2 linked regions of the Lonchura striata genome follow. Each later gene encodes a partner of the first gene's protein in a complex. Links are inferred from orthologs where the notes say so. Each region holds a gene or a part of one and is shown on either strand. Other genes may lie near its edges.

Evidence for each region.
Region 2: RRN3 (region 1) and TAF1B share a complex: the UniProt entries of both Homo sapiens proteins name them as parts of the pol I pre-initiation complex. The link is inferred for Lonchura striata from reciprocal best matches to the Homo sapiens genes RRN3 and TAF1B.

The regions. Positions count from the first base shown.
Region 1 is NC_134618.1:8,936,124-8,948,647, reverse strand, and holds the start of RRN3 (RNA polymerase I-specific transcription initiation factor RRN3), read right to left. Parts: upstream 5,190-12,524; 5' UTR 5,113-5,189; intron 4,986-5,112; 5' UTR 4,975-4,985; coding exon 4,882-4,974; intron 4,399-4,881; coding exon 4,342-4,398; intron 3,505-4,341; coding exon 3,415-3,504; intron 3,328-3,414; coding exon 3,198-3,327; intron 2,746-3,197; coding exon 2,686-2,745; intron 2,229-2,685; coding exon 2,165-2,228; intron 1,689-2,164; coding exon 1,619-1,688; intron 14-1,618; coding exon 1-13. Other genes in the region: transmembrane protein 238, read right to left, coding at 8,949-8,958, 11,525-11,910. UniProt on the Homo sapiens protein: Required for efficient transcription initiation by RNA polymerase I (Pol I). Required for the formation of the competent pre-initiation complex (PIC).
Region 2 is NC_134605.1:98,932,917-98,945,155, reverse strand, and holds the start of TAF1B (TATA box-binding protein-associated factor RNA polymerase I subunit B), read right to left. Parts: upstream 4,713-12,239; 5' UTR 4,646-4,712; coding exon 4,628-4,645; intron 3,895-4,627; coding exon 3,796-3,894; intron 3,311-3,795; coding exon 3,223-3,310; intron 1,452-3,222; coding exon 1,354-1,451; intron 1,060-1,353; coding exon 964-1,059; intron 353-963; coding exon 220-352; intron 1-219. UniProt on the Homo sapiens protein: Component of RNA polymerase I core factor complex that acts as a GTF2B/TFIIB-like factor and plays a key role in multiple steps during transcription initiation such as pre-initiation complex (PIC) assembly and postpolymerase recruitment events in polymerase I (Pol I) transcription.

The sequences.
Region 1 (12,524 bases):
GGACATAACATTCCTATGACACAAAATTAATTGGTATGAATAACAGTGTTAACAGAAAGTCAAATTTCTGCAAAGGACTTTGAGAAAACATGTTTCTTAATTTGTTACCTAAAAACCCAGAAATAGGTTTAAACAGATTGTGTTCAATGAAGAGTAAGTTAATGTATTAACATTAACTTTCAGTATTTGTGTCACTATTAACTGTTTAATCTGCTCTTTTTATACACATTTTCCTCACTACCTCTAAATATAGTGTAAAGATTCTATAAGAAAAGTTATTCATTTTCATAGGAGTTTATGTCTAGACTTTCTTTAGGAAAATGAAGCATATGCTTCACTGTAGCTAGAACCAAATTAGACCAAATGTATCTTTATTTCAGATTATTAAAATATACCAGCAGCAAATCTAAATTGAACAGCTATGGCTCTTCAGTAATTCTGATTATAAATCAAGCAGCTTAACAGACAAGTTTTGTGAGCATGCATGGGCCCACCCATGTGTACATGTACAAAAGACAACGTTGCAACTTTCATAAAGCAAAACTATCAAGTTGCTGCACACAATCAGGTAGTGTGCCACATCTAAGTACACCACAGTCTACTTGTGAATAAGCATTATAACACAACCTTTAATTACATGAGCACATATGATTTTTCCACAGGCCATCTTGTTCATTTTTTTCACAGGCTTAGTCAGTACACAAAATGGATAGAAAACGTTTAATGAGAAAGTATTAACTGTAAATATTAAACAGTGCATGGACCACATTGTATTACATTTCATTTGAGCTCTGCCCTGAAAACAGCTACACATTTCTTTACATCTTGTCCCTCACTGAGCTGCTAAGTAAATAAATCTCCTAACACCATGTAAGAGCTATTATTCCCCCATTTTACAGATGGGGAGATGGTGCTTAAAGTTATTTGGATTAAGACAACAATTTTTAAAAATTGCAAGATAGATAAAGAACTTTGGGGATTTTTCAGCACTTGATGAGTTCAAAACACAGCTTTGACTGAACTTAGGTGGAGAAGCAGGGCTTTGCCTTTCTGTAACACGAAGTGCCAACATATCAAGCTGGAACAAACAAAGAGAATGATAAAACAACAGCCATAACCTGTCAAAGGTTTACAGCTTGTTTTTCAGCACACAAAAACTATGATAAAGCTATAATAAAATAATAGCGCTTTACTGGCAATTTGGATTTCGCCTGAAATGTCCATTGTCTCTTGTTTGCTTCTCAAATCCCCTGTTCTTCTGCCAAAGACTTTCCAGGTTTGATAACAGACAAGACAGGTCTCCTTAGTACACAATCTGAGACTCCTCATCAAGGAGGTCCATGGTGTACATGGTATACATCCAGTGGGAAAAATATGTGTGATGTCTTTAAAGATGAGCACAACGCTTGTGCACAAAAAACTCAGAATGCTTGGAGAGCCTTACACTAAACAGACACAATCCTATACGTGGTTATTATATATGTAATTATTATATATGCAACAATATTCTTCAAAAATCTGCATGGACTGCCACCGAATCAGTTGTAATACTATACAGAACATTTATGCATTTAGATAAACAGGTGAACAGATCAACAAAAATAGTCACAGCTCTTACCAGAGTTCTTTCTGATTTATTAATGAAAGGAAAGAATTCCACAAGTATCGGCATGAGAAACTGTGGTGTCCTACAATTAATTAAAAACCAAAAATCAGACCTAAAAGTTATAGGTTTGCAAATGTTGAACTCCAGCACTCTAAAGGTGTACTGGAATAAGCTTATTTAACAGGAACTTTATTTTGAGGTAAGTAATTGTATAAAATGTGGTTTGGCAAGGATCACTGGGCAGATAATAAGTGGCAAACTTTCACAATGCACTCATTGGAAGCCACTTCAAATATCACTATAGAGTACAGAATACAGAAGCCACTATCAACACCACTTTTCCTACCTCCCATTTCTGTTAACAGGATTTTCAGCGGCTGATGCCTGACAGAAACTCCATGTTTGTATAAAGCAGTCTACCAGTTATTGAATACTAGGAAGATTCATGTAATGAAATGAAGTGTTATGCTTCCAATTAAGATAGGAAAAAACCCATCAGTTCACAAGCTTTAAATCTGCAAGAAAAGGGCACACAAACCCAAGGGATTCTGTACTTACGAAGGAACATATCTTGCAACAGTTTGCAATGCTCTGTGGCATGTATCAAAGTTTTCAGAGATGTCTAGAGAAAGAAAAAAGAATTCTTATGCACTTGGTTACAGAAAAGTAAATCAGGAACCAGTAAAAACAGTTCATATCAACTACACAATTGAATGATTCCCAAGAAAACTGCATTTGCCAAAATGCTCTTTTGCGGGGGTGTACACTGAGATAAATAAAATAGAAAGCAAACAACTAACTTTTCTTTGGCTTTGAAACAACCTAGGTCTAGGAATGTTTCCCTATGCATTCTATTCCTACAGATACAGCACCAACAGGAATAGTTTCAAAGTAATAAGTGGGTCAGCACACCATTGATTTGAGTACAAGAAAGTCTTTGACTTAGGAATTTAAGGATGTTTCTTATGTTTTACTTGAACTCAGCTCAATTAATTTTGTAAAAAAGGAGCAACATGCACTGGATACTGTTTCGGTAAAGGCACTACAGCAGCATGTATATCTATATACTTTATACTCACTTTCATCATCATCATCAGAATCTGAAATATCCACATCATCTTCTCTGATGGTTATTCGAGCTAGTAAAAAAAAAAAAAAAAGATTATTACATCTTTTTTCAATTGTATACATCTTATAGGTAAGAAATTCAGTAGCAAATACACTGAACAACAGTCTCCAGCACAACTAGAGCGTCAAAATTAGCTGCAAGACCTTCTTAAAGACTGTTATTTACAGAACTAGGAGGTTCTTGAGAACATCTGACATGATCTTCACTTCAGCTTTTGGTTTTTTAGTAGTTAAGATATTATACAGTTCATTCATTTCCAAGACATCTTCAGAACAAGATCTGTATTAGCACCCAGAATATATCCTCTAAAATCTAGGTACAGAAAACTATCTGTATGACAGTCAACATGAAAAAACTCAATAACCCAATAATTAATTGTGTTATGGACTGTGTTTATACAGAACTTATCTATATAGGGATTTTGATGAGCAAACAAAGACCGATAAGAGAGAAGTAACCTACGGGGGACAAACTGTGACACGATCATCCGCAGGCACGGCCTGAGATGCACAGTTTGTGCTGACACAAGATTGCCAAGGAAGCCCAGATATTCTTCCACTACCTCTCGGCTCCTTCTCAACCATGGTAGCTTCTAAAAGTAAGCAAAGATCAAGATGTCAAAGAAGGATGTTTTGAGTACTAAACTCTTAGTCTTCCCATGTAGCAAACAGATACTTACCAGCAAAATGTTGACCAGTTGTCCAAGCTCTTTGGTCAAATATGCAACAGAAGCTCGAAATTCATGCAGCCAATTAATGATCTGGGCATCCTTTAAATCAGCAGAAAAAAATAGGTTAACTATTTCAATAAACAATACTACCTATTAGCAGAAAATACCAAAATCCTTAGAAGTCAAAGATTAAGGCTGTAAATAGAAATTGTTTTCACACTAACATGAAAGGAAATTCAGTTTGTGCCCTCACCAATGAAAGTTCTTGAATGCAGAATACATTCATGCCAGCTCCTAAACCAACAGACTGACATGAAGGTTTCAGTCAGATTAAGCAAGGCATGAAACCTCCCTCACACAGAACATAAAAGAAATGGTATTCCATCATCATTTTCTTTTCTCTTTTGCTCTAGTTTAAGCAGAAGGGACACTCAAATCTTGAAACAGCAAACATGGCTAGTGCTCGTAGCTATACAGAAGAGCTGTGAAACAATACTTCTGGGTATAACTACTAAATGCATATGTGTGTTACTGCCTAATTAAATCAGATTTAGTGAGAACAGAAGGTAAAATTCGATGCAACTTTAAGGCTATGAAAATTAGAAACCATGTCTGATCTACAGAAGAGTCTCCATAATCAACCATCAGTGACCTAAAAAGATGGTATCTGGAACAGAGACTCAAGGGTAGAACAGGGTCAGTAAGCATGAGACATCATTTATAAAGATCCTGCATATACGTATGCGTACAAAAAAGACATTTTTTTTCCATTTAGAGTTTTAATCCTGATGGTTTTTGCAAAGAAAAAAATGCTGTTTAATCAAATTTAAATCTTTAAAGCAAAGGCTTTGTGTAGTCACCAGAATGACTTGTCTGGTGATTACACTCAGACAGACAAACTTTAAATCATCAGACCCCTGACTATCAAAGTCTTACCTTTATGTCTGGATCTGATAGCTGATGTTTTAACAATTCAAAATCTGTAGTGTCACCCTAGCAGGGGAAACAAAAATAAATAAATTACTTTTTTTTTTTCCTTCAGTAAAAACTACCAATTTCATCAATGCATCTGAACAACCAACTATTGAACAGGTACATCAAGAATACAAGACAACCAGCTCAAGAAAGCTGAACAGTAACAGGAAAGCAGCAGTAACAGGGTGTCATCCCAGAAGGCAACCGAGGCTGCTGGCTCATTTTCAGCTGCTCTCCCTGCAAACACAGCTGGATCCCTGTGCACACTTTAGCATAAGCCAGGCTTTACATTCACCCAGCCACGCAGGTTGACTCACGGGGGAATCTTTTTGCTCGCACAGCAATTCTGCCTGGCACAAGCCTACAACGCTCAGCCGCCTTCAATTTTTTCCCTAAGGCTTCAGGCACGGTCTTGCATAAGGCGAAACGAGTGTTCTCACGGAATGACCCCCGAAACCAGCAGTCCGTGCGCAGCGCAGGCCCCTGAGAAGCCGCAGTCACCTTTTCGTACTTCAGCAGGATCTCGGTCAGGGTCCCCCCGAACCGCACCGTCTTCCTGGGCGGGGAGCTGATGAACTCGTCCGCTCCCAGCATGGTCACGGCGCCTGCGGGGAGGGGAAGCCGCGTGAGCACCGCTCGGAGGCCCGGGCACCTCTCGGGCCCCTCCTCAGCCGGGAGAGCCGCGGGGGCCGCCGTTCCCCTCCCAGGATCCCTCCCGCTGCCCGCCCTTGCCTTGCGGCGGCGGCCGCGCCCGCGCTACCGGGGCCAGCGGCGCCTCGCCCCGCGCCCGGCGCGCCCCGGCCGCCCGCGCCGCCACATGCCGCTCCGGCGGAAACTGCGCGGCCGGGCGGAAACCGCGCCGGCGGCCCGCCCCCGCACCGCCGCGCCGCGCCGCCGGGCGGCGGCAGCGAGCGGGCTCGGAGCGGCACCGAGCGGGACAGGGCGGCACCAGAGAGGGACAGAGTGGCACCGAGCGGGCTCGGAGCGGCACCAGAGAGGGACAGAGCGGCACCAGCGAGCCGGGACAGAGCGGCACCGCCGGGCGGCGGCACCGAGCGGGCTCGGAGCGGCACCAGAGAGGGACAGGGCGGCACCAGAGAGGGACAGAGCGGCACCGAGCGGGACAGAGCGGCACCAGAGAGGGACAGAGCGGCACCGAGCGGGCTCGGAGCGGAACCGCCGGGCGGCGGCACCGAGCGGGCTCGGAGCAGCACCGCCGGGCGGCAGCGCTGAGCGGGAAGGGAGCGCTGGGAAGGAGCAGCCGCGGCGCTGCCCCCGCCCACCGTGGTGAAGCCAGGCAAGAGGAGCGGGAAGCTCTACTCTCGTCACCGTTCTGGGTTTACACTGACTCCCGGTAGCGATCCCAGCGTCCCGGGGTGCGTGAGCAGAAATCCAGATTGATCCCCAGGGCCATGGTGGAGCGAGCCCACCCCGGGATGGTTCACAGGCGAGCGCTCCCCGACCCCTTGGGCAGCTCGCCGCGAGCAGTGGGAGCCGCGGGCAGCCCCTCACAGCACGGGTGACACCAAGGGCACGGCCAGCCCGGGTTATCAACTAAAAACTGCAATCCGAAGGGATAAACTAAATGGTACAAACAACTTAATTGAGATTAAAAAGGGCCAAGAATCTGCTCTAAATTAAGCAGTGTTTGACCTTGGGAAGTAATAATGGATTTGCTAGAATAGAGGCACAGGAACTCCAGTGAGATTTCTGGATGTTTTCATCCTCCCTATGTAGGCTGGGTCTATGTTAAAGCACCAGTCATTAAACAAAATGTGTTATGGACTTTTCTGTGTCAGAGCTAGTAACTGGTTTTGCTCCTGAAAGATTGTATACACACACAAATTCTGCTGCCACAGCAACCCGGGTAAGTATGAACAGAGACTTGAATTTCCTGTGTAGTTCTTCAGTAACATCCAATCTGCTGGAAGCTTACTTTGGCTGAATGTGTAAAATTTACTTCACCCATTCACACAAACTAGCTACAGCAACACGTGACATTATTTGACCTTAGCCCTCTCAACTTTGTATACACTTATGCTTCTTTTCTACACAAACTGGTACTGTAATAATTATGTCACTCCCAGCAACTCTCACAAGTTACATCAAACAGATTTTTGTAGGCATTACTAATAATATAATCTTGATGATGATGAAGATATTCCCATTTAAGTAGATACTATACACCACATGAAATCTTCCATTAGATGCAGTCCACGTTTAAAGTCTAACAAGCATTTAATCCATCTACATAGTTAGAAGCTGGAGGTTGGTATTTTTCCTTTAGTGGAATGTAGGATGACATTTTGAGCTAGTTTTAAGACTTAACTAGCAAAAGACTTCTGTAGCCACCCTTCTGGAACTAGTTTGGTTCTTTGTGATTTTGCCTAAGATTTTATACAGCACACATAAGACTTCCTTCAATGGCTAGAGGAATTCTTTTAGCTGCAACAGCAAGCAGTCCTAAACATGTCCAAGAGCTTCCTTCCACTCAACAATGTAAAAGTTCTTTGAATGGACTTTGTGCTGCATTGGCAGAGCTGATAAGGAAACTAAAATAGTGTTAAATATTTGTTAATGTGTAACTGCAGGTGATTCCCAGTTTCTGTTTAGAAGGCAAACTGATTGCATGTAAGAGTAACTGGATGCATTTTCAAAAAGAAAATAGTTACAATGCTTACAATAGGTATCATATCACTGCTCCACAGCAAGTACTGTTTGTCTAATTATTTGGTCTCACCATCTTCTAGTGCTTTAGTGCTTTTCTGTGCTTAACATCCTCCTTAACTGATGGGTCAGTTCCTATATTTCATTTTTAAAATATATACTATTCATACTAGTAAACTAGTTGGAATTCTACATAACTTTTGAGTGAAGTTGCACTCTAGCTACCATCTTATACAACAATCATTAAGTACTGATATTGGATTTGATTAATTACATCGTAATATACAATGAATGCAAAGGCCTGCTCAATTCACTCTAGCAATTATTATTGCTTTAATAGAGTAGAACACTTGAATAGAAAAATTTTAATAGAAAATTTTGGTTTTCACAAACTAAGTATGTGAGCTACATATATGAGTTTTGGCTTAATTTATTCCACTTATTAAACAGTGTATCTCATAATTCACTTTATAAGTGAAACAATGGGGAATCAGAAAAAGCATCTCTTTCTGTTCAGGAAAAATGAAACGAACAAAAAATTATTGCAAATGAAAACTGATCTACAGGTTTGTTTGGGTTTTTTTTAATCAGGCCATTGCAACACTGGAGTGGTGTCACATTGCAGTTCCATTAAAAGCAGGAAACAAATTGCATACACCTCCTAAAAATTGCAGATAGTAAAGGAGAAATCACATTGCAGATCTTCAAGTTTAGTGTTCTTCTGAATTTGTTAAAAGATAGAGCATTTGGAAAGCATTTTAAAATGAGAATATGCAAAGAAAAGAAGTTACTCTAGTAATTTTACAAGAAAACACTGAAAGACATTTCAGGAGTTCATAAGGAAGTACAGCCACAGTGTTCTTAGCAAATATTTTCCTTAATTCCACCTTTAGTATTCAATGAGGTGTGGCATAGAACAATTGTGCATTGAAATTTTAAGCCCTACCAGTATTTGCTGATGGTGGCACCAAACTCTTAGTGTAACTTCAAAACCAGAAGAACTCCTGAGGAAATTCTCAACACAATTTTATCATTAGCACAGTTTTAGGTATCACTAGCATTAATATAAATCTTTTTCCAAGTACTGTTTGTTAATGCTTTACAATGCCTTGGGGTACTTGTTAATCAACAGAGTTTCTTTTGGTCATGTTCTCTCTCTCAAATGCTTCAGCATTAGGAAAATAGTTTCCAACATCACTGGACTAAAAATTACTCTTGCAAGTGTCATCATATTACATCGTTTGTTACTACAAAGAATGTACTTGTATACCAACATCACTGGGGTCTACTTATAAAGTCTCAGATTCCAGGTTATTTCAGAATAACAATGAAACTTTTTACAAGAGATGCTATAAATTGTGTATTTACACTATAAACAACTTCTACTACATTTGCAGCTTTGCGTCAACAATTTAATATAGAGATTTTAAAAGCACCCTTACAAACAAAAGTATTGCACTGGCATTATAAAAATTCACAGTAAGTTTAACTTCCAGACCTTGGTAAAAAACAGTGCAAGAGCTTTTCATTGTGCAAGAGCTTTTTATACAAACCTTTCAGGTTATTGAAAATAATAATAATTGAAACAACACAATAAAACCAACCATATGACAAGCTGCACTGACATTTCAATGAATCAGGTTCAATTCTCTTTAGCTGTCACTTCTCAAAAAGATTTTGTGGAATCTTTTTTCACCATTTCAAAGCATAGCCAGTCCAACACTGAAATAGGTGCTTTTGGCAGAGATATGGCTCCACGTGTCCATTTTATGGAGAGTCCACAATGCTTGCAGAGGTTATTCCACAATGAGAGAATCCTACTGTCTTGAGTAGGGAATCTCTTTCCATAATTTGCAGCATTTTCCCCACTTTTTGGGGCCGTAACATCTTTAGTCATGTCTTCAACAGATCCTGAAGGTAACACATGAAGAAATGGTTACTCCAAAATAGGCTTAGAACAAATATAACTCTAAACTGTTACTTAAAGTCAGTCTTAAAAGTACTTTTCCTCATATTGAACAGCCAACTGGAACCCAAAGAAAAGATCCATTAAGTCACCAGCCCATCTCCAATGGTGGCCAAGTGTGATGTCTCAATGAAGGCATAACAATATGGCACACAAGTAATATCCCCTCAGGATATCAACTGCCCCAGGTCTTCCTTAGCCAAATATATTATCTTTATATTATCATGTATCTTCTGCTTTGTCCTTTGAATTTTTGAATCAGTAAATTTTTATCTGTCCCACTGTCCCATGTCAAGTAATCACATACTTCACTTACATAGCACATGACAGTTTGTGCCTGCTTTGCCTTGGGAGACAAGCACTTCATACCTTTCCCACAGTGACTGCATAGACTTCTAGAACACTTTATATTCTGCATCTCTTTTCAGGCTTGAGGATTCTAATCTACTTGTTATTCCTTTAATAGAAACATTCCATGTAATGAAAATTCTCACCTTTGTCTACTGTATAATGTTTAAGACGGGAAATCAGAACAATGTAGAATGCTCCTTTCATAATTTCAAAAATTAATGCTCAAATTTTCCAAATGAAAATAAAGAGAGGATGTTTGGGGTTTGTTTTGTTTTGTTTTGTTTTTAGGATTTTGTTTTGTTTTGTTTCTGAATGTGTGTGTGGGGGGTGCTGGTTTTTTTCCTTCTCAGGCAATATCTGCCCAAACATGTTTAACCCGTTTGGTTAAGTTCATAAATATCTCCTGATGGGGAGAGGATTTGGTCTATCAGCAAGGAATGACCTGATTCAGACAGTTGTTTATGAGAAGTTCTAAGATACTTTAGGTGAACTTACTTTGAAAGGGAACTCCAAATTATCTTTCAAGGTGAAACCATTTGTTATTCTTTGTTTCACCTTGCAAGTAAAATCCCAGAGTTTATGTTCCAATATGTAACATAACTGCTGTACACCCCCTGTTTTGGTTTTGGTTCTTTCTGAATTACCATTACTGAAGGTTGTTTACTGTAGCAACAGAAGCTACTGGGATATCTTGTACTAAGTATATATATAGATGTGTGTGTGTGTGTGAGTGTATAGGACATGTAAATCTAATTACAATCAGAAATAAGACTTGAAATATTTCAAAATAGTGGATAACTTTCACTAATAGGAGCTCATTAAAACAGAATACCTATCCGTGTACACACAGTGCATCTACAGAAATAGCAAATTACCTACTGAGCTCAATACCTGCAATTGCCATGATGTTTAGATGGAATCGTTCTGCGTAGTCATTTATATTTATATTGTTCCTGCAAATATCGACCTGCCAGTTTTAGACCCCTTTCAGAAAAAAAGAGGTCTGAAAATAGAATGGCTCATTTTCAACAGTCTAATTGCAGGTGTAGTTAATAATAAACTAAAGAGCAGTAACAATCTTTGAAAGTTGTGTTGCTGCTGTTCTTTCCTGCCTCCTACAAGTCTTCTATTAAGGAATAATTATCTATACTCAATCTCCCTGCTGTTAAAACTTTCTCTCAAGAAAAATTTCATAGCTGTCATGAAAGAAGACGATTTCTACATGAATTTTTCTGTAAGTCAACAGTGTCTTCAGAATTTAATTGCAAGGAGAAGCAGGAAAAGCTGATCTTGTACATAGTGAATCAGAACAGCAAGATGTTTAGAATCCTCAAACAGTTCAAACAGTACAAAACTGTGTTTACAGTTCCTACAATAGAGGATTTTACATAGTGAAGTGAAGGCTTGACTTTTTTCCCCAAACACAGTTTCAAGGCATTATGCATGCTTTTCTTCCTATGTGAACACACCACATAAATGAACATACGAAGATATTTTGAAAAGCTTCATGTTCTTCAACCATGCTTTGAAATAGGACCGAGACACTTCCTTTGCACATCAGGTATCATCACATCTTTTCTATATGTCTGAGGTTTAAGACAAACAGTTTAACTGATAGCTACATTTGAGTTTCAACCTCTTACCTACAGCTCTGCCCTCAAGTTAAATCCAAGTCATCATTTCACCTTTTTTGTTCTCCAATAAAGCATTATTTCACGGTGCTAACGAGGGGGTTTCCCCTCCCAAGAGCTCGTGCGGGGTAGTGGTTAATGGCCCTTCCTGGCAGGATTTGGTTGCTGTGAGGACCAGTTCAGAGCGCCAGGGCTCCTGTGCTGCTCTCTGGCCGCAGCTCTCCGCACGCCACCGCACTGCCCGGGCTTCACTCCGGGTCACCTGCTACGTTCTCGGACGGCTACAGGAAGCGCCTTCCCCGCCTAATCCCATTTGTGCAATCTTTCCCACTCGTTTTTATACCACCTGAGCTGAGAAAAACTCCCCACTACTTCTATTTAAGACGTGGCAGCTGCGAGTAGGTGTTTTAACCCAGCAAGCGTTAAACCGAATGCCGGGCAAGCGAGCTGTCGCAGGCTGTGGCCGAAGGCAGAGCCGACAGCCGGGCTGGCCTCGCCGCGCGGCCCCGGGCTCCCGTCCGGCTCTCACCTGCCGGGGTCGGCGCGGCGGCCGCGGGGGCCCTGGGCGCGCCGCAGCTCCAGGTCGGCGGGGCGGGCGGGGGCGAGCGCGGCCGTGAGGCGGAGGCTGAGCCCGTTCACCAGCCGCCGCAGCAGCGTGTCCCCGCGGCCCTTGGGCGGCGACAGCCCCACGTCGTCCCGCAGCTCCTCGGGCGGCACCTCCAGGTTGCCCGCGTACCAGAACACCCACCAGACCAGGCTGAGGAAGATGCCGATGCCGCCCGCGTAGATGAGCAGGTCGGAGAAGAACACGTCGGCGAACACGCCGGCCAGCAGCACCGCCAGCCCCACCGCGTCGAAGGCCAGCGCCAGCCAGAAGGCGGCCACGCAGCGGCCCAGCCCGCCCGGGGCCGCCATGGGGAGCGGCGCCACCGCCGCCTCGGGCCGCGCGCACCTGAGGGGAGGCGAGGGCGGAGCGCACCTGAGGGCAGCGCCGGGCCGCGCCCCCACACCTGAGGGGAGCCTCGGCCACGCCCCCTCTGAAGGGCCGCCCGGGCCACGCCCCCGCACCTGAGGGCAGGTTCAGACCGCGCCCCCGCACCTGAGGGCAGGTTCAGACCGCGCCCCCGCACCTGAGGGCAGGTTCAGACCGCGCCCCCGCACCTGAGGGCAGGTTCAGACCGCGCCCCCGCACCTGAGGGCAGGTTCGGACCGCGCCCCCACACCTGAGGGCAGGTTCAGACCGCGCCCCCGCACCTGAGGGCAGGTTTGGCCGCGCCCCCACACCTGAGGGCAGGTTCAGACCGCGCCCCCGCACCTGAGGGCAGGTTCGGCTGCGCCCCCACACCTGAGGGCAGGTTCAGACCGCGCCCCCGCACCTGAGGGCAGGTTCGGCTGCGCCCCCACACCTGAGGGCAGGTTCAGACCGTGCCCCCGCACCTGAGGGCAGGTTCAGACCGCGCCCCCGCACCTGAGGGCAGGTTCAGACCGCGCCCCCCACACCTGAGGGCAGGTTCAGGCCGCAGCGCACA
Region 2 (12,239 bases), on another chromosome or scaffold:
TTCCAGGTCCTGTTCAACTTTTATCTCCTTGGGTAGGAGTTGAAGGAGGAAGTCTATTTCTGGTAGAATATAAAGTAGTACAGTGTCAAACAAGACTGAAAATATTACAACTTCCAACCAGTTCCTCCAATTCACTGTACAAAAATACACTTTAAATCTATTTATATTTAAAAACTACAGAAAAACTGATTTTCAGATAGTTCTGCTCACTGCTCCTACCTGAGACCTTGCTCACTGATGAGGCAAAGCTGCAGTCAGTCTGCAGATCCCCCTCACTGTCAGAGAGAGACAGCAAGTGCAGAAAGCTGGGTCTCTCTGGATCACTGTCCACATCAGTACTGCTCTCACATCCCTGGGGTTTGTAAAGAAACATTTGTGTTAGCTGCTCTTAGTTACGGTTTCGATCTTAACAAACCACATAAACCATGACAGATGCAATGCAAAATTAACAGTAAAAGTTAAAACTCGAACTGTTAATATTTTTACTCCATGAACCACCAGTAACTGGAAAAAAAAAAAGGCAAGGAAGTATTTTTTCAAGGATTTCTCAATACCAAAAAGTTCTAGTGACTACACTTTAATCTGCTACAATGACCAGAAAGTTGGCAGCACACAGAATCAAAGCTTGATCAAACTAGTAACTTCAAGAGAGCAAGCAGAAAAGGATGGTAGCTGATGATACATCTTGCATTGCCATTTGTATTTACTGATTTTCTATGTCAAGACAAGGCAAAACTTTTAAATAAGCAGTTTCAAATAGTCACAGAAATATTTATCTGTTGAAACAGACTTGAAAAAACTCCAAAACCCAATAAATTGGACATGTGCAAGCCTGTTTAAATGACCTCCTTCATACTGAAGTGACATTGTTGGCAGCAAGATATGTCACCTAAACAAAGAAGATTTCTGTTGCTGCTTTTAAAAAGATACCAAACATCTCATGGGATTTGACCTTTCACTTACTGATAATACTTTGATGGTTTCCCCAGCTGGTCTCTTGCAATATGCCTGTTTGCTCTTCTGAAGGTAACACCTCCAAAAATTGCACAGAATTTCATCCTGATAAACAAAAATGGATGGCAAATGGTACAATGTTTACAAGATCATTAATTGCTGAGAGAACGGAGCGTAATTTCTAACTCAGGAATATGAATAACATTCCACCTCTAATTTTATTAACTGTGATTTATAAAATATGTTTAAAAACTACCAGAGAAACAAATTTTTATTTCATATGCTCAATGATTTTAAACAGGGATTTATGTTATTCACTTTAAAAATTAAAATCTTTTAAATCCCACTTTCTGTAACACACACACACAGAGTATAGAACTCAGACTGACATCTACGTACCTTCATTTGTGGACATACTCCTAATGCTTCTAGAGCTTCCACCTGTTTCTTGAGTACAAGCTGAAAGCCTTCACAAATATACCATTCACAGCCTCCATCTAAGGGGAAAAACAAAGGAAACAAACTATGTTTGTTTGTACTATTTTGGATTTCTTTAACTTTATGCACACTTATCCCCATATCTCTAATAATTTCAGACCCTAGTGCATAAACCACCTGCACTGAACACTCCATTAACTTCCATTTATTCACAGCCTTAAACGAGAAGAAAAGTTACTGAACAAGAACTTCACACATTTCCCAAGAATAATATAATTCATTACAATGTCTAGTGTGGCATTTGTAATTGAGCAGAGCACTGTTAAATTACCAGTTTAAAAATAACTGAGAACCTGCATTTAAAAATGAAATATGAACATTCCTTTCCCACCCCTGACATAGAAAACTGAAACATTACAGGAGTGAGTCAGGCAAAAAACAATCAATACCACTTTGGTGCTTTACCATTCTCTCACACAGAATCACAAATGTTTAAATGAAAGAATATCCCAACTTCTAACAAATCATAGCACAACATAAATTTCACAGGGAGTGGGCCTGCTCTAATCTGCTCACTATTTCTTCAGGCTGCATTACAATTACTTTTCACCCTTACCTCTCTAAATTCACTACTAACCTTTTATACAGGCTTTTGGTTTTAGAAATTTTCTCTGCATTTCTCAACTCCATTTTCAGTCCTTCCACACCTGTTCTTCACTACTCTTGTTCCGAAATACACCTTGCATCTCACCATCTTGGACATTATCTGCCCAAAGCTTCTGCCCTGCTATAATGATGCTGCTCTTAACTGCTAACAGTGAACTAACAGACACAGCTTACTCCTATACTTTCATGGAATTCAGTGTAACATGACTGCATTGTGAAGTTAAGGATTTCTTTCTTAAGAAGTCTGGGGTTGGCTAATGACCTTCTCAACAGGATAAATTAAAAGCATGACTGGTCCAGACTTCAGAATAAATACAGTATAAGGAAAAGTGGAGGGGTCCTTTCACACCTCCCTTCACTTCCACATAATTGCTCTTTTCAAAGGAATGTAGCAGTCTACTGCCTCTGCAACAGACCAATGGTATTTGAGCGTATCAGAGAGAAAGATAACCCCTTGCTTTATTTGGCATTTTAATGCAGTTCTGTTTTCTGAAGGTGGCCACAACAGTAAGAGATGTATCCAGCCAACACAGCATACACACACAGCTCTAGCAGTAGCTTTACCACTACATCTTTATGCCCCAGATCTTCCTATGTAATGACCACTATTCTTCTGAATAGTCATTAAGTTAAAAGTAAAAAAGTGACTCTGGATGAAAGATGCAGCTCTGGTTCAGCTACTGGAACTGCATGAAACCTCTTCTGCGCAGTTTGTGTGTAAGCTGCAGGGCCAAGTGCCTGTAACCCAGGCCAGACTGACACCAAGAACTGGACCACCATCACATCTCACTTGCCAAGACAAACAACCTCTCTGGTTTTGTGATAGCCATCACAGGGAAGGAACAAAGGATTACCACATCTGAATGCATGCCTCCAGTAGCCTGAATGAGTATTTGCTTCCAGAAGTCAAAGCAGCAGTAGCACACTCACCTTTTCAATAAAAAATCCCCACCACTGGGCTCACCAGAGGTCACCTGTGGCTCAGGAAGTCACCAAGTGTGATCTCTGAAGGTTGTAACAGCATAAGGGAGGTGCATTTTGTTCCCACTCCTACAGTCTTTCCTGCCTATCCGTTTTTGTTCTCTACCAAAGACCTAATGGCCTAGGAGAGCAGTGGCTGAACAGCCACCCTTTTGCAAAATACGAACAGAAACTCATACATACCAGTTTTTTCCTGCTTTTTTAAACCTTTGGAGATTGATTGGACTCTTGAATTAGTAATAAAATCAGTGTTTACAACTTCTCTAGTTCTCTGCAAAACAGGAATACATCTTAGCAAGAAAAAGAGCCAGGTCTAACTTGCACAGATTGCCCCATCATAAAACATAATGGAGGAATTCACCGAAATTTCCTAAACTATCAGGACACAAGACAGTCTGAACTTTTCATTCAGCAATTTCAAAAACAGATAATTACTATCATGGACACATAGGTGACATGCATCACAGTTTGCCTGGATTTGGACTGCATAAAGGCAGCAACACTCAGACAATGCTTCTGAGGCATCTAGAGAGCACATTGACACCACAGCTACAGCAACACAGCAGGCCAAGATGGCTCATTCGAAATGTTGTGATTTCAAGGAACATTAGTTTTAAACAGTGTCAACTAAAGCATGAAAAAGTAAGAATAAAAATACTGCCCTCAATGCTGAGAAGAAAAATCTGTAATTTTCTTACATAAAGTCAAGAAGCAATCAAAATAAACATTTTCCAAGGCAGTAACTCATCTTTTTACCTCAGTAACGTTGTGGCAAGATCTACAATAAAATCTGCCTCCATCAGTGAGACCCCAGTTCACTTCTGAACACTGAGCACAGCGCTCATTAAAATCTCTCTGAAAGAAAGAAAAGCCAGAAGACTTTCACAATTGCTCAATACAAATGCCATTATTGCTAGGCTACTGCACAGCTTCTGAGATTATTTGCAGAGGAGAGGATTTACACCCCTCGTGTTAGCTCTGGCTGGTAACAAGTGATCATCGCACTTGCCATCAGCCGCAGGTAACCCTGAACACGTAATTGCAGCTGCAAAGGGCCAGTTCCCGTGTGTGAGAGCGTCAGAACAGCAGGAATGGCGATCCACGCCTCGCACACACGTGGCGGGGCTTTAAATAAAGCCACCCATCAGAAATTGAGAAGGAGATACAAACTGGAGGGGGAGGCGAAAAGAAAAACAAATTTCTGGAACTGCAAAGAAACACACGCGGTGAGAGAAAGCCCGCACGAGCCGCCGGTTCCCGGAGAAACCGGAGAGGGAGAGAGAAGAGGGAAACCGACGGAGCAAAACCAAGTGGTTTCCAGAAACGCCCACGTGCGTGCTGGGCAGGGGCAGCGCTGCCGGGCCCGGCTGAGGGGCGGCCGGCGGCACATCCCGGGCCGGACCGAGCGCCGGGCAGCGCCGAGGGGCCGGGCAGGGCCTCGCCCGCGCTCCGGGCCCCGCTGTGGGCAGGGCAGCACCGGGCCGGGGCAGGCAGCGCCCGCCGGCGCCTCTCGCTCTCCCCCGCCGCCCGCAGCCGCTGCCCGCCCGGGGGGAAGCGGCCCCGGCCCGGCGAACCCCGCAGGCCCCACCGTGTCCTCCTCGTCCATGGCGGCCGCGCCCCGGCAGCACCATGGCAACCGCGCCGCGGCGCCGCGGCCCGCCGGGAAACCGCGGCCCCGGCGCTCGCGTTCCGGGCCGCCGCGGGCACTGCGCGGCGCCGGGGGCACGGGCGGGGCAAGGGCCGCGCTGAGGGGACAGATCCCGGGGCTGGCACCAGCGGGAGGGAGAAGGGAGAAGGGAGAAAGGAAAAAGGCTTTCCTGGGAGGCGGTGAGACACTGCGGCAGGCTGCCCAGCGAGGGTGGAGGCGCCGCATCTTTGGAAGGCCGGGTTGGATTGATGCCGTGAGGGGCTCCCTGAACAGAGGCTAGACTGTGTTAAAGGAAGAAAGTAGGGATTTATTTAAAAGGATACGGCCTGGGCAGTACAAGAGCCTGGCCGTAGCTCTCCCCAAAATGGACCCAAGATGGACTCCAAGTCGTTTTTACACTTTTATAAGTTTTTACACTTTTATAAGTTTTAGTCCATTTACATATTGGGGTTAATTGTCCAGTTACAGCTTCAGGTTATGAAGTCCCATCCTCCCAGTTTGCTCTCCTCAATTCACTGCTCTTCAGACTTTTTGGGCCCAAAGCTGCAATGATGTCCTTGGTTCTTGTGCTGGAAAAGGATTGTTTTGTCTGACTAAGCTGTGAGGAGAGCTTGCTAACTCTTTATATGAAGCTCAGAGTTACACACTAATGCAGTACAGAATCTGGAAAATACGAAAGCTAAAACTTAAGGCATCAGAGGGAGCCCTGGGCAGCCTGGTCTGGTGAGGGGTGTCTCTGCCCATGGCAGGGGGGACTGGGGCTCGGTGCATCCCTTCCCACCTCTTCATAGTCTATAGTTCTGTGACTTCAGCCATGGAGGAGACGTAGCAGCTTCAAGGAGATGTGGGGTGTCCCAGGGACTGAAGGGTCCGTTCCATCACAGAATCAGTTGAGTTCCTGTGATCATCGAGTCCACCACCATGTCAACTAGACCATGGGACTCAGTGCCATGTCCACTCCTTCCTTAGAGACCTCCAGGGATGGTGACACTGCCACATCCCCGGGCAGCCCGTTCCAAAGCCTAATCACCACTTCTGTGAATAAGTCCTTCCTAATGTCCAACCTAAACCTCCCCTGGAACATCTTTGGACTGACTGCATGTGCAGCTTAAGACTAAGACTGTGTGTGTCCTCTGAGCCTCAGCCCATCGCCATCCTCTCCACAGAGCTCCTGCATCCTCACCCTTGCACCACCTCGGTGGCCCCAGCTGGTGACCACCAAGGCTGCACCAAAGCTCTGGGAAGGGGGCTGCTGCTGCTTGTAAAGAAGGCCACAAAAGCTCATTTAACTATGTAAAAGCGGAGATCCTTGAATGAGGGAAACTACAATCTGAAATCCACTTTCAATTAAAAAACAACACCCAAACCTCCAGATCTTGATGTAGGTCTCTAATTTCTTGCATGCTAATAATAATGTTTAAAGATGTCTAAACACCAAGATCTGTTATTGCAGGGAATTTGCCCACAAAATTGGAGAACAGGTTTAAGCCCTTTAATAAAAAAAAAAAAAGTCCACTAAGTGAAGGCATGGGAAAAAATTAAAGTTAAAATATACATAGAAAGAGGTGAGGCTGCCTTGACAGCTGTGGTTACATTGATGTAGAGAGCTAGAGGGAAACTGTTTATGTTTAAGAAAAAAGTTATTACTCATACCAACTGTGATCTTTTTTCAGTGTGGGTTGAACATTTGTAACACCCATTACACATGTAATTCCTGCCATGTTAAAAAGGTGATTGTCAGCCTCACAGAAATGTAGCTAATACTTTGATGAAACAGATCCTACTTGTGTTTTTAATTTCCATATTTTTTTTGTTTGTGGAAATACTGTTGTGGGAAAGCAAGGCCATCTTGTGTGACAGAGAGGGTTTGATCTTTTTCTAATGTATTTCTAAGATTAAATACTACCTTGAAAAAAAATCACATCTGTAGCTGTGATAAGAGAGGAAGAGGTGTGTTCCAGTGCAGAAGATAAGGCATTGCTCCTGCTGAGAGCAGTGCTCGTGTGTGACTCAACGCTGTGAGCGGGCAGTGGGCCTGCCCAGTGGACTTAACTAAATTGAAGAATTTGTTTAAATTAAGTGTGGAACTGAGTGCTTTGATGAGGTAGGACCTCAGAGTTAGGTCTTCTGTTTTCTAATTACAGCTTGTCCATAAAATATTAAAGGAAGAGTAATCACAGGACTGCCATTTTGTCAAAACCTGATAATTTCGTATTTAATGACAGTAGTTGAAGATAAGCAAGAAAGAAGAAAGATGTGGGGGACAGCACAAGGAGCTGTGTAGGTATAATTGTGGCCATACTGGTGCAACATGCCAGTAAAATTTTTGAACAGGGAAGCCCTTACTCTCTGTTGCTGGACAGCCCACACTGTTTCTCTGAGCTGCATTTTCCACGCAGGTGAAACAGATGTGAAAAGGTACCAAATTTTGGAAAGGAACTTCTACAAAGACTGATATTAATATTACTAGTTACTTATAAGTGTCCAGGGTCCCTATAAATGCAAAGTTTCTGTAGCTATTTCTGAAGTCCATCAATTAATTAGTGCAGACTACTAATCTGGCAGGAAAAAAAAAAATTAAAGTCTAACAGGGTTACCAAGTCTTATAACTATTTCTTAAATATTTTTTGAAATTACATGTATAAAACCGGTTTTTCAGCATATAAAATTATGTGTAACCTTTGTCCCTAATTACAAGTTACCCAAGCATACTGATAGGGGTATGATAATTTCAAAGCCAGGAGACAGACTGTCTTCCTGCTTCGGCTCACTTTTCTAATTAAGATCATTATGCATAGTAGTCAGATTGATTCAAGGCTTAGATAAATAACACGTCCTGTTGTTTCCATTGATTTGAATTTTTAATGAACTGAGTTCCATTGCTGATACCACATTTCTGGTTCTTGACTGCAGACTTTCTGCATGTGAAAATGTAAAAAATACATATTGGACTGAAAGACATGTCCCTTGGCCTGTCCTTTGGGCTACTGTTCATGAAATTGTGCTGGCTCCAGGATACAAACTTCTGTAGCAGAGATTCTCCCCAGAGTCTTTACCCATTGTCAGACACCTACTACAAAGAGTTAGAGCAGAACAGCAACCTCAGCTGCCCCAAAGATTGTGCACATGAACACAGGGCAGATCGACCAGATTCAAATTTATAGAAAATGCACACAGTTATTAACATGCAAAATTTCATGTCTGCACCATCTCTCCATGGAAGAACGCATGTTTAAAGGCAGACAGAAAACAAAAGAGAAATTAGGAGAACAAGAAGCAAGTGGCTTCACTGTAACTGATCTTTAGAGACCACGCTGTGGAAGGGGTCAGGGGGAGAAGCTGGGCCAGCAGTGGAGGCAAAGGTGCAGCAAGTTGTGCAAGGACAAAGGTGGGAACAGCAGCAAGGCGTGGGGGTTACAGCAAGCTCGGCAGGGAGGGATAACCAGGGAGGGGCTGAGCTCAGCTCAGCTTTGAAGGAAGCGACAAGAATGAATTTAACGTTACAGTTCAGACACACCCAGCATTGCCTTGCTATAGGGTTTGTTATACAGATTCAGCTTTCAAATTTTACTAGTTAAATAAATTTCAATCCCTGTTGTGGAAAACCTGAAAATATGACCTAAAACATACAAATCACCAGAAAGCAAATAATATTTTTTCCCAAAGTTTACTCAGGTTTTCTTAGCATTTTCCTAAGATGTAAGCAACAGGAATTTTAATTTCTGATTACCAAAAGCAGCAATATTATACCCAAGAGGGAGGGCAAACTGAGCCAGTCTTAGGCACTAATTCTGGGGTTCGCACCATCAGCCTTTGCTTTGCACACATGCTGCAGCCCAGCCCACCTCGCAGAGTTACTCTGTGGTCCCACCCCGGGTTCAGCTGGGGCTCTCCCTGCCCGCAGAGCTGGTGATCAGCTTTGTGGTCACCCAGCCAGGGGTTCTGGGGACACACACCTCAGGGCAGGACCTCACATTCAGATGAGCTGCTTGAGCAGGCAAAACTCTGGGAGGCCATGCTAGCACAAGGCCAGCCACAGAGGGATTTGAGAGGTCTTCTGGGGATGCTGAAGTCCCGGCTGGAGTCAAGTGAACACCTCGTAGTGTGTCTTGGCCTTCAAAGGCAAGATGTCTTTCCTGAGGAGCACCACACTGCCCTCGGGCTGCCCATGCTCTCAGAGATTGCACCCCTCAATACCTGGTGACAGAGGTATGGAGTAGGGATGGGCACTTGTAAGAGAGAAGCCACAAAGGAACAGAGCAGGCAGTGAGCATTTGAATATCCCATTTCATAAAGGCATCTATAATGCCTTTATTTTCTTGTTTTTCAGATTTTATTGAGCAATTGACATGAAATCTTCCTTCAAATTGTAATACTTCAGTAATGTCAGGCTTTGTCTAGTTTTCAGTTTTACTGAAAGAAAAATATGCTACATACTAAAGGGGATCTTGGCTTCCGTTGTAGCATTGTGCATCCATCGTGCCATGATGATTGTTCTCAAGATCATTCTGAGATACATTTAATCCACAAAAGCAGTAGTATTTTTAAAGGAATCGAGAGCCACCTTGTGGAGCTGGGATTCACAAAGGGGTTCCAAAAAATACGTCTGGGAACAGCTACTCACAGCTAGAAATTCAGATCCAGTGTGATCGAAGATTGTCAGTCTGGAAAGCATGCACCATGCACATGTCTGTGCATATTTAGTGCACAGTGCATCACAGAACTCCTCTGCTGACTAACACTGGATGGCAAAGAAATGTATTTGTGGGCAGTGGCAGGTAGGAATGTAAAACTGTCAGAAAAATGCAGAAAGCAGCAGAATTGAGGAAGCAAAGTAAGGTACTCACTATGACCTACGCAGCTTTGGTGTGTGGGGGTGTTGCTCAGAGGGCATTTTTCACCATATAATTAATTAAACCCTCAAAAATGCTGGTAAGTTTTGGAATCATCATGTGTAGATTTCTGTTACAGGTTTATTTTCTTCTGCAGTCATTTATAAACATGGAGAATTAGGATTGCCAGAGCTCAAATACTCCATAACCAGAGAAATAGCAAAAATGGGATAACTTATGTGAGACTTACTTCTTCACAGAAGTCAAGAGCAGTCTTTTTTTCTCAGTCTCTGAGGCTGCAGCATGGACTATGAAATGTTTCATTTACCATTTCTTTCCCATCACTCCTCATGATGGACTCTGAGCTGCTTGTCAGTACTGAAATGTGGATACCAGCACGTGATCTTGCCAAACAAAAAGGTATTTGCTTTTTTCAAATCTTCTTGGTCTTTTCCAAGACCTTAATGCAGCAGCAACTTTATCCTCAGCACATTAGATGATACCTTAAAAATGTATTTTATGTAAGGACAAGTTTATAAAAATCTCTCTGAGTAGTAGACCTTAAGTATCTGAAGAAACTCAAAACAAAACAGAACCAAAACAAAAACCAAAAACCAACCCAAACAAACAAACAAACAAACAAAAAACACTAAACCCCCCCCCCCCCCCCCAAACCGAAACAAAACAGGGCTGTGATGGTCAGATAATCCTCCAGGTGCTAGAGAAGCCAGTCCTGAGGCAAATGATTCATAGTCCACTGATAATCAGTCTAGTTATTGAATCATGATACAACTGTGATACGTGTTTTGCCTATTTTCTGCTGAGTGAATTTTAAGTTTTGGAAATTTTTAAAATTAGTTACACATTAGCAGAGCTTGAAGTTAAGTTAAATTTCAGAACAGATACTACTTTCAAAATCTTTGTTAGCCAAACAGTCACTAATATCCCAAAGCATGGTACAAAGCAAGTAGAATGTGAAAGCAACCTGAAAGGTCATTCTTTTTAGACCAAGTCTTAACAGATAAACCCAGCATATCCTTTATGCTTAATAGAGTTCAGTTTTCCCCTTTGTTCAAATGCTTTGGTAAACAGGAGCTATCTATGGGTATCATTAATGGTTGCTTCAGATTGGATTAATTTTTCCCCCAGTAATTTAAATGTAACCACTTATAAAATGACACGTGGTAGTAGGAGAAAATTCAGAAAAAGATACCACAAGGCTATGACAAGGAGTCAACACCTTCTGATTTCAAAACTATGAAAATCTCAAAAAAAGTCTGCAACTCTTCCTGTCATACTTCATTCCATCATGCTTCCAAGAGGTTATGGTACATGGATAGCAGGTTTTCAATATTTGTTCAAAAAAACTATGAGAGATGATTCCACATTACAATAATTAGATGTGAAGGGGAGCCAAATCTAGAAGAAATAGAAATAAGTAGAATGCAATCCCCTATTTTCAGAATGTTCCCAAGCTGTGGTCTCAAGTCTGCACTTTTCAAGTTGTCTCTGTCAAGAAGGGAACATAGCAGCATTCAGGAGAATCCAGAAGAACCGGTAGGATCACCCTAGCCAGGGTGCTGTACTCTTCAAAACCAACATGCATGTTCAAGGTTACAAAGGATGTTTGATAAATGCTGTTCTAAACTAGACATGGTCCTGGCAAAGTGAATTTTCTGTGAAGAAAATTAAACCAAGAATAGTATTTAATACACCCTTAAAATAAAGAATGGAATATTGTTTCTCAATTTCTATTCCCCACCCACAATACACAGCTTTTATGATAGTTTTTATTGTAAATACGTATGCAGGTTCATGGCATTTAAGAGCAGAGTTTAGAAAGATAAATTTTCTGTTCTAACTACAATACTAAAAAAAAAGCAATTAAATTTATAGGACCCCCTGCAATTCATGAACTATTTTTTAAAGGGTAGGCTATAAAACATAGTAGAGGGTGCTATTAATAAAAATGAAAATATAGTTAAGTTGAGGCATAGCTCTGGTTTGATTTACAATCTCATTTCCCCAGTGGTTTTTGCCCTCTATTTCTCACCATCTATTTTTCTGTCCCTTTCTTGCCAAAGAAAGAAAAGGTCACCATCCCTATTCCAAACTTGATTAAGTCTGTTAGTTACAGCATGCTATGGGACCTAGAACATATTGTGTCTCAGCAAGGCTCATTGCTGTTTTGAGCTCACCAGTGCATTTGGGTATTTGTCATGGTGGTGATACTAAATAAACTTAATGACCAAGGGATGGAGCTGTGATGGTTCTTTTTTTTTTGTCTCACCACTACATAATATACTTAAAATAACTTTTTATTTCTGTAGTTACACAGAAAGGTCACAGAGGAAATCTTTGCTCCTTCAATGATGAATCATAAAATCATTACAGAATCACCAAAGGGTTTGGGTTGGAACAGACTTTAAAGGCTGTCCAGTTCCAACCCCCTGCCATGGGAAGGGACACCTTTCACTAAGGCAGTTTGCTCAGAACCCCATCCAACATGGCCTTGAACACTTTTAGTGATGCAGCATCCACAGGTTCTCTGGCAACTTGTTCCAGTGTCTCAACACCCTCACAGGAAATATTTTCTTCCTAATTTCTAATCTAAAGCTATTTCTGCACATCTTTGTTTTAATTATTAATTATATGGTGGGGACATCAAAAGTGCAGAAAGTCAGGATGCACCTGAGACTCTGTGAGGACCTGTTAGAGTA